Linked DNA regions of Ovis aries. The protein of the gene in region 1 purifies or fractionates together with the protein of each later gene. This does not show direct contact. Links are inferred from orthologs where the notes say so. Each region holds a gene or a part of one and is shown in the gene's direction. Other genes may lie near its edges. The genes, in order: GNAI3 and RIC8A.

Region 1 (4,267 bases):
GTAAAAATGTGGACAACAACCCACAATCACAGGGTTGTTGTGAATAAACGAGATGACACATCCAAGTACCTAGCCATACCTGGCAAATAGGTACTCCATAAATATTGTTTTTTCTTCCCTTCGTCTTGCCCTTTCTTCCCGTAAGTACTGATATTCTAACAGTCACTAGGAAGAGTAGGAGGCTTGGAACTTTGAAGAACTGGCATTGACAAATTAAGGTGCATGAAGCTATTTAATGTGGTTTTCAAGAAATCCCTCTAATGATCATCAGTCACCGTATATATCTTTCTGTTGGGATCTTATATTCTAAGGTCTAGGTTCGATTGGGGAAATAATATTTAATCATAGGGAAAGGTCTTGGAGGCTGCAAGAGTTCCCCTCTCTAGAATGTACGGTGAATGTTTTTGTGGGGCTCTTTGGAAGTAACGGTAACGTAGGGCTACTTTCACCACAGAATCCAGGATTATGAGTAAAAAGGGTATCAGTGTGGGGCTTTCATAGGGGATTTATCAACTTCCAGGTGATACTATAGCTGAGAAACAAATTTTACTATGACTTCTCTTTTCGTGTGTTACCACAACAGGAAATTTTAATAGAGATTCACAGGATGCACTGGTTTGTTTTAGGGTGTGGAACTTTGGTTGACTAATCTTGGTAGAAGTCCTAAGTCCTTAACGCACGACAATATGTCAGGGCTAAATCTGGCTTGTGTGGGGGAAAGGCAGCATGGAAATTTCATGGAAAAACCACATTCTTACCTTATGTAAGATCTGTTACCGATTTCAAGAGATCCTTTACCGACATAGTAGCTGGGCAACTCAAGCCCACTAGGTACCAGTAGGTGAGCCAGAGAGGGCAGAAAGGGACTGCAAAGTCCCAGGCATGGTGGGTCTTAACTTATTCCAGATGTGGAGCGTGACTGCGTCGAGGCCCCGACTGTAATTCGCATCCCATAGCTCTGGCTGGGACGACGCCAACAGACAAACTATCCTACACTTGGTCTCAGATCTCCACAGCCAGAATTAAACTGGTTTTCTGGCCAGTGGAAAAATTCCCAGCAGAAATTCCCGTGCGGATTGCGGGCTTTTACTTGGGAATTTCCATTCCCCACGCCAATCGGCCGTGCGACCTCGGGAGGGTGCCTTGAACCGGAGAAACCAGTCCCTGGTATCTCTATATTCATCCAAATAAGACAGCCAAAAAGGTGAAAGGGGATTAAAGTCGAGCGGCGCCCGGTAAGCTCGACAGGGCCGCCCCACACCTCGGAACCGACGCTCGGCGTCCTGGTCTCTCTCTCTCCCCGTACTTCCGCTTTTGGTTACGCCTCCTTTACCCCAGCTAAGGAGGTCGAAGAAGTAACGGCCGCGGGCGTTGCCGGAAGTGTCGTAAAACGCCGGATATCCGGTTTCTCTGGGCGCCCTGGGAGCTGACGGAGAGGGCCGCCGCCCAGCAGTAGACTGTGTCTCCGCCTGCCAAGCCGCAGTCTCCGCGGTTTTTGAGTGAGCCCCGGCCCGGTCCCTTCTTTCGCCGCCGCCATGGGGTGCACGTTGAGCGCCGAAGATAAGGCGGCGGTGGAGCGAAGCAAGATGATCGACCGCAACTTGCGGGAGGACGGGGAGAAAGCGGCCAAAGAAGTGAAGCTGTTGCTACTCGGTGAGGGGCTGGGAGCGGGGCTGGCGGGGTGGTTTAGAGGGCCCAGGCACTTGAGAGTCCTAATGGGGGGTCGGGCCGGGCGGGAGGAGAGGACCCCGAAGAATCTGGAGGGCGTGACGGACGTGGGGCGGGGTGTGGGGTTGTGGCTGGTGCCGGAGGGCATGATGAGGGGGTGGGGTTTTGGGGTTGTAGGAATTAGGCTGGAAAGAGGGTGTGCCACCATGCTGGGATTGTGTTTAGCGAAGGAGCTTCTAAATGTGGTCCAGTAGGACATTGAGACTGTATTAGGAATATGGGAAAAGCTCATAAAGGAAGAGCTGATGTTAGAGAAGGTTTTTCAAGGGAAGGGTTAGAGTGAGTTGGTGTTGAGAACGGGAGAGTGTGTTGGGCTTGTATAATGGATTGTGAGTTTGGAGCGTGGTGATACTTTATGACATTAGAGCTGGGGGGCGGGCCTTGAATAATTAATATAAATAGAGAGGGGGTCTTGAACAGAGTGGTCACGTAGGACCCTGTCATTTAAAGAGTGGACATTTTGAGCTCTCGCTGAGGTGGAGGAACCCTGGGTCATCCAGGAACATAAAGGTGTATGGTTGAAATAACTGAAAAGTTCTCAGGTGTAAAGGGAAAGAGTTTGAGTGTAGAGGCTGTGTGTATTTATCCACTATTTCCTATTATTTTTATTTTCTTAAGGTTTTTTTAATAACTCCTTCCACTGTTTTTATAAGAGCTGGTGTGAGCTGAGGATATTTAAAGACTGTCTTGTTTGAGGTTTGTGGCATAGGATGTGATGATGACAATAGATTACACAGTGAGAGTTGATGAATATTTGCTAGGGATGGTGTGCAGTGGGAATGCAGTTATTTTAGGATAAATTATGGAATTGGACTTACTGTAAAAGATGTGATTGTGACAGACTTCTGTTGAGCTGGGGTTTTTTGTTTGTTTCTTCAAACGAAAAATACTGGCTTCAGGAGTTACTGTTTATTTTACTTGACATTCGTTTTAAGTAGTTTTTATGTACAGTCAGATGCATTTTACTCAGCCTGGTTGGTTTTAGAATTTTTGAGAAATTGTTTTCTAGAAGCTCAATGAATCATATAAAATACCCTGATGTCAGCTTACCAATAAATCAGGCCACATTTTTTCTTCACTGTTAGTATTTTCTGGGGATCTGTTAGGGAAGAATAAATGGAAGTAATGGTTTCTGTAAGCGGTAGAACTTTGCTCTTTAAAACAGTTGATTTTGGGGAAAAAGAAGTTGCTTTAGGAGAAGTGCCAAATTTTTATGGTGTGAAGCTCCAGAGGACAGAACGCACCACCGTAACCCAGGGTTTATTCTGCATTCAGGGTGCTCGTGCTAGTCTTTTCATGGTAACGTGTTTGACAGTTTGTAGATTGCAGAAGCCTTGGTAACAGCTTTTTGAATAAAGGGAGGAAGTTATGCACTGGAGTTTGAGCCTTCAGTTTGAATACTTAATCTTACAGAATGTATGAAAAAAAAAAAATTGAAGTTCCAAACTGCTACTCTTCCATATAACGGGTATCATTTGTGAATGAGCATGGTCCCTGGTACGTAGTAGATGCTTAAATATAAACTGTTAACCAGCGTGTGTCAGCTACTGTTGGACATAGCTCCTTGGGACCTTTCAGGTGTTTGATATAAACTGTAGTACTCAAGGCATTAGCATTGTTCCTATCAATCAGTTGGTTATGAAAGTAAAGGTGTGTTTTTATCTTCTGTGGTTATTTTGGTTTACATTCATAATCAGAGATCCCCTCAGGATATTAGGCTGTTGTAATACAGGACTTTATAAATAGTGCATTTAATTAAAAACAAAATTAAACACATGATCACTTAGGAAATTTCAAAAGCAGTAGGTAAAAATCAAAGTACTACAACATTTGCTTTTCCTTTTTAATCAATTTCATTGTTTTAAGTAAGTTTTTTTAAATATTCTTGAGCAAGTTAAATGAACAGATTCAAGCAGGTTGCAGAGAGAGATGTATTTGCTTGAGTCATGACATAACCCATATATGAAATTAAAGTTATCTTCTTTGCTATTTCTATAAACAAAATGCACTCATCACAGTAAACAAATTGTTTTGCTGTTGAATACCTCCTTTGATATACATGCAAGTCATTTTTACTTTCTCTCTGTAAAACTATCAAACTTGGTCTAAGTTGCAGGCATTGTTATTATTTTAACAAAATGAATGTTACCAATTATAGTTACTATAGAAATTCAGGAGGAATGCAGTATTATAATTGTTTTGTTACTTTTTGTTTAAATTTCTTTTAGATGTATTATTGAGAAGCTCTTGATATACTAGTGTCTAATCATAATATTCTGTAAAGAAACAAAATTATGTTATATGGGGCTTCCTAAGCAGATGGTAGTGCATAGGAAGGCTTGCAGTGTGCTGTTTGCAAATGTTTTATGGTTTTGAAATTTTAAATCATTTTTATGATTTTAAATCATTTTGTAACTAACTTTTCAAATTTCACAGCAGTTAGAATGACATTTGAACATTTTTGGTGTGATTCCACCAGTACACTTTCTGAGTTTGACAATTGAAAATATTTGATTTGGAAGATTTATACCAATTAGTG
Region 2 (4,413 bases), on another chromosome or scaffold:
ATTTGTGGTTTTAGAGGCAACTATGGTGCCCACAGACACTCCAGCAGCCATTCCCGCCTAAGGCGGTGTCGGGGTCCTAACTGGGAAGAGCACACGGGCCTTTCCCGGGCCAAAGAGGCTCCTCGCCGCGACCCCGCCGGGGTTGAGGCCCGGAGCGAACTCGATGGGAAGCCCGGTTCCAGTTACTGCCGGCAGGACAAACGAGATCAGTGCCTGGAACGAGCGAGCGGTGCAGAAGTCGCAGGAGTGAAGCCCTCTGAAGAAAACAAGGAACCAGGAAGAGGGGTGGGAGCGTGAGGGGAGTGGGTACGGGAGGAGCCAGCGCTTTTTGACCTTGCACGCGGTGCTGACAAGGGGCCTGACAAAGTAGATGCTTAACAAAGCCTTCTTGCCCGGTGGATGGGTTATAAGTTACCCACCCCCCGTAATGGAGCAATTGCTGTGCCATGTACTCGACAATCCACTGAAATGGAAACTTGTATCGTCTCTGCTTTTCAAAAAAGGAAACAGCCCAAGCAGACGAGCAGGTGTGCCTGCTTACACAGCAGGGAAGTCACCGCACACAGTCAGACTTTGTCTTCCTCCTGACCTTCCCCCCACCCCGACCCCGTCTCTCTTTTCTCTCAGCTCCAACAGTGATGTTTCTCTCTCCCTCCACGGCCATTCCCACCCTCGCACTGGCCACTCCTGCCTTGCAGAACCTTCCTTCGGAGCCTTTCCTGGCTCACTCCCTAGGCTCCGGTCTCAGCAAAAACTGACTGGCACTTCTTCAGATCTCCTTGCAGCCCATCAAGCCCCTTTTGTTATTCAATCACAGCACTATAGCTGCCTAACGTCGTCTTGTTTGCCCGTTTTAGTCTTCACATCCGGCACATAAGCGCCAAGAAGGCAGGAACCTGTGGGTTCTATTCACCCGCATCCCGGCTCCTCGCGTGCAGTAGGCACTCAAACATCTGTTTAGAAACCAAGTGGTCCGGAGGTTGTAAACTCCTTTCCACCTCGACTTTTCCCTGGACGTTTCATTCGTTCTGTGCATCAAGAGCGGTGTTGGTGTGCGTGTGATGGAGGGGTGCGGGGCTGAGGCCCTCTCCTGTCAGGAATCCTAGCCCAAGGAGTGAGGCTCACTGCTCGGTTCAGGGCGATTCTGGCCCATAAGTCGGACGATCACCGAGCCGGAGTTTAAGGCCAAAGCTGACTCGGCAGCAAAGTCTTCAAGTTCTATCCAGCTGTTCCAGGCCTCGCCCCTTTAAGGCGCCACACAGACCAGAGAGCTCTGCGCCCGCCGGGTCCCGGCCTCCCCTGCGCGCAACCCAGGCCCCGCCCCACGGCGCCGCGCACGCCCCGTCCCGGCCTCCCACGCGCGCAGCCCAGGCCCCGCCCCTTTAAGGCTCCACGCAACCCAGAGAGCTCGGCGCCCGCCCGGTCCCGGCCTCCCCTGCGCGCAACCCAGGCCCCGCCCCACGGCGCCGCGCACGCCCCGTCCCGGCCTCCCCCGCGCGCCGAGCCTGGGCGGGGCGGGCAGACGCTTGCCCGGAATCGCGAAGCCGGGAGCCTCCGGCCTTCCTGGCATCGGGTCCTGGAGGTGCCATGGAGCCCCGTGCAGTTGCGGATGCCTTGGAGACGGGGGAGGAGGACGTGGTTATGGAAGCTTTGCGCGCGTACAACCGGGAGGTGAGCGGGAGTTGTAGACTTGGGACGTGCAGAGAGGAGGTGGGGCCGGGTGGGGCCCGCGCGCGTGGCCGGCTGGAGGGGCGGCGAGAGCGGTGAGCGTGGCAAGGGGCTGAGGGTGGAAGGGAGAGCGATGGGGAGGAGCACCGACTCTCTGAGGAGTTGCGAGGGTGCCGGTGTGTGGGGCTGGGGCGCCATTTGTTCATAGAGGTGCCTTCGGCCTCAGGCCCCCATCCGCGGAACCCGGGTTCTGACGCGGTAGGCCTGTGCCTTCTAGCCTCTGGGTTTCTTTGCAGAACTCCCAGAGTTTCACGTTTGATGATGCGCAACAGGAGGATAGGAAGGTGGGTGCTCACCGGAGGTGGAGGGGCGTGATTGGGTGGCCCAGGTAGAAGGGCCTGGTGGAACGGCTCTTCTCCCTGCCCGCAGAGACTGGCGAAGCTGCTTGTCTCGGTCCTGGAGCAGGGCCTGCCACCCTCCCGCCGCGTTATCTGGCTGCAGAGCATCCGCATCTTGTCCAGGGACCGCAGCTGCCTGGACTCCTTCACCAGTCGCCGGAGCCTGCAGGCTCTTGCCTGCTATGCTGGCATCTCCGCCTCCCAAGGGTCGGTCCCTGAGCCGCTGAACGTGGATGTCGTACTCGAGTCCCTTAAGTGCCTGTGCAACCTCGTGCTAAGCAGCCCCGGGGCACAGGTCCTGGCAGCAGAGGCGGGGCTAGTGGTGAGGCTCGCAGAGCGCGTCGGACTGCACAGCCGGAGTAGCTTCCCGCACGACGTCCAGTTCTTTGACTTGCGTCTTCTGTTCTTGCTAACTGCACTCCGCACCGACGTGCGCCAGCAGCTGTTTCAGGAGCTGCAGGGAGTGCGCCTGCTGACCAGGGCGCTGGAGCTGACGTTGGGAATGACTGAGGGCGAGAGGCACCCTGAGCTCCTGCCTCCCCAGGAGACTGAGCGAGCCATGGAGATCCTCAAAGTGCTTTTCAACATCACCTTCGACTCCATCAAGAGGGAGGTGGATGAGGTGAGGGCGGACCTCAACCTGTGGGTGGGGTTTAACAGCTTGGACATTTCCTGCACATGCTGCTTTGCTGGGTTCCTTCAAATTTCTGGATTAGGTGTGCTTAGCCAGTCGAGAGAAGCAGGGAACACCTATCTTGGACCGGTCTCAAGGAAGTTTTCTGAGGGAGTTGGAGAGCATAACTGGCTCTTGCAGCCTGGCTGGAGGGCTGTGTGGTGTGCAGGGGAGGCTGTGAGATTCTTCGTGGTGAGACTGAGTGGGGCTGAAGCACAGAGCAGCTGTGTGCCAAGGGGATCCATTGATTTTCTTAACCGAGAGTTCTCTTGAGGTCTCCTGGGAGAGGACAAGCACCAGGGTGTGCAGTAGAGAAGCATAGTTGTTAATGCATGAGGTCTTGCAGGGGTGTCCAGAAGGTAGACTCTCAGTTGGCAGCAGTGGGGCCAGTGGGGCGCGCTCTCACAGGAACTCCTGTCTGTCTGGTCAGGAAGACACTGCTCTATACCGGCACTTGGGGACCCTTCTGCGGCACTGTGTGATGGTTGCTGCTGCTGGAGACCGCACAGAGGAGTTCCACGGGTGAGGGGGGTGCCTGTCATGCGGGGGGGTGGGGAGGAATGGGGGTGGTTTGCTCACAGGTCGCTGTGGTGGTTCCCAGCCTTAGAGTCTTCATCCTTCTGGGTGGAACCAGACAAAAGTGTGTTTCTGGGGCGCTCCAGCACTTATGGTCTAGGATCGGAGGTGTGAGTCCAAGGCAGGACGGTGCCAGGGGGCCTTGGGTAGGGGCAGCGGGCGCTGTGGTATCGATAGGGTGGTGTGCTTCCTCACTTTCCTTCTTGGTGGCCTATGCCTAGGCCGGTTCTCAGTTTTAGCTGTGGTGCCTCAACCTAGATACGTGGTGGGTTGGGCATTTACAGGAAGTAGCACTCTTGCCTCTGGTACCTTGTTCTGCTGCTTGGGCCCCCAGACACTGGTTCACGGCATTTACGGCCCCAGCAGCTGGCAGCAGGGGTCGGTATTCACCAAGTGCCCCTTCCATCTGCCCCCAGCCACGCAGTGAACCTCCTGGGGAACTTGCCTGTCGAGTGTCTGGATGTTCTCCTCGCCCTGGAGCCACACGGAGGTTCCTTGGAGTTCCTAGGGGTGAACATGGATGTGATTCGTGTCCTCCTCAGCTTCATGGAGAAGCGTCTTCATCAGGTGGGCAGGGGGACTGCTGTGGCTTTGGCCCAGGTTTTTGCAGCTACTGTGGTCACTGTGTTTTTGCTGTCCACACTGGTGAGGGGAGATCACCTCCCCAGTGTGATTCGGGCGGTTCCTCCCACGTCATGGTCAAGCCGGATCTTCCTCCCTGAGAAGTCTGTGGGCTTCATCTCGAGGGCTGCTCGTGCACAGGGACAGTCTGAGTCCAGGGGCACAGAGAGGGATGAGGGGCAAAGTGCTTTCAGAATCTGGCAAAGGACTCATTTCTTAGACATCTTTGTGAATCCTCTTGAGGAGTCCTGAGAAGCCTCCCACCCCTACCCCCTTGAAGTGCCACCACGCTCCCCATCCCTCTCTGTGCCCCTGGACTCAGAATGTCCTTGTGCACGAGCAGCCCTCGAGATGGGCGTCAGCTGTGCCATGGTTTCGCTCGGAGGACCCACAGGCCCTTGAGAGCCCGCAGCCCCCCGCTCCCTGCAGCTGCACCCTGGGATGCTGACTGGCCGGCACTCTGACCAGCTTCTCTGG

Evidence for each region.
Region 2: the proteins of GNAI3 (region 1) and RIC8A purify together in Homo sapiens (affinity purification with mass spectrometry; 3 studies listed by BioGRID and IntAct, counting the BioPlex papers as one, with this or other methods). This does not show direct contact. The link is inferred for Ovis aries from reciprocal best matches to the Homo sapiens genes GNAI3 and RIC8A.

The regions. Positions count from the first base shown.
Region 1 is NC_056054.1:86,784,030-86,788,296, forward strand, and holds the start of GNAI3 (guanine nucleotide-binding protein G(i) subunit alpha-3), read left to right. Parts: upstream 1-1,428; 5' UTR 1,429-1,535; coding exon 1,536-1,653; intron 1,654-4,267. UniProt on the Homo sapiens protein: Heterotrimeric guanine nucleotide-binding proteins (G proteins) function as transducers downstream of G protein-coupled receptors (GPCRs) in numerous signaling cascades.
Region 2 is NC_056074.1:47,475,187-47,479,599, reverse strand, and holds the start of RIC8A (synembryn-A), read left to right. Parts: upstream 1-1,520; 5' UTR 1,521-1,587; coding exon 1,588-1,671; intron 1,672-1,964; coding exon 1,965-2,012; intron 2,013-2,097; coding exon 2,098-2,688; intron 2,689-3,169; coding exon 3,170-3,261; intron 3,262-3,731; coding exon 3,732-3,882; intron 3,883-4,413.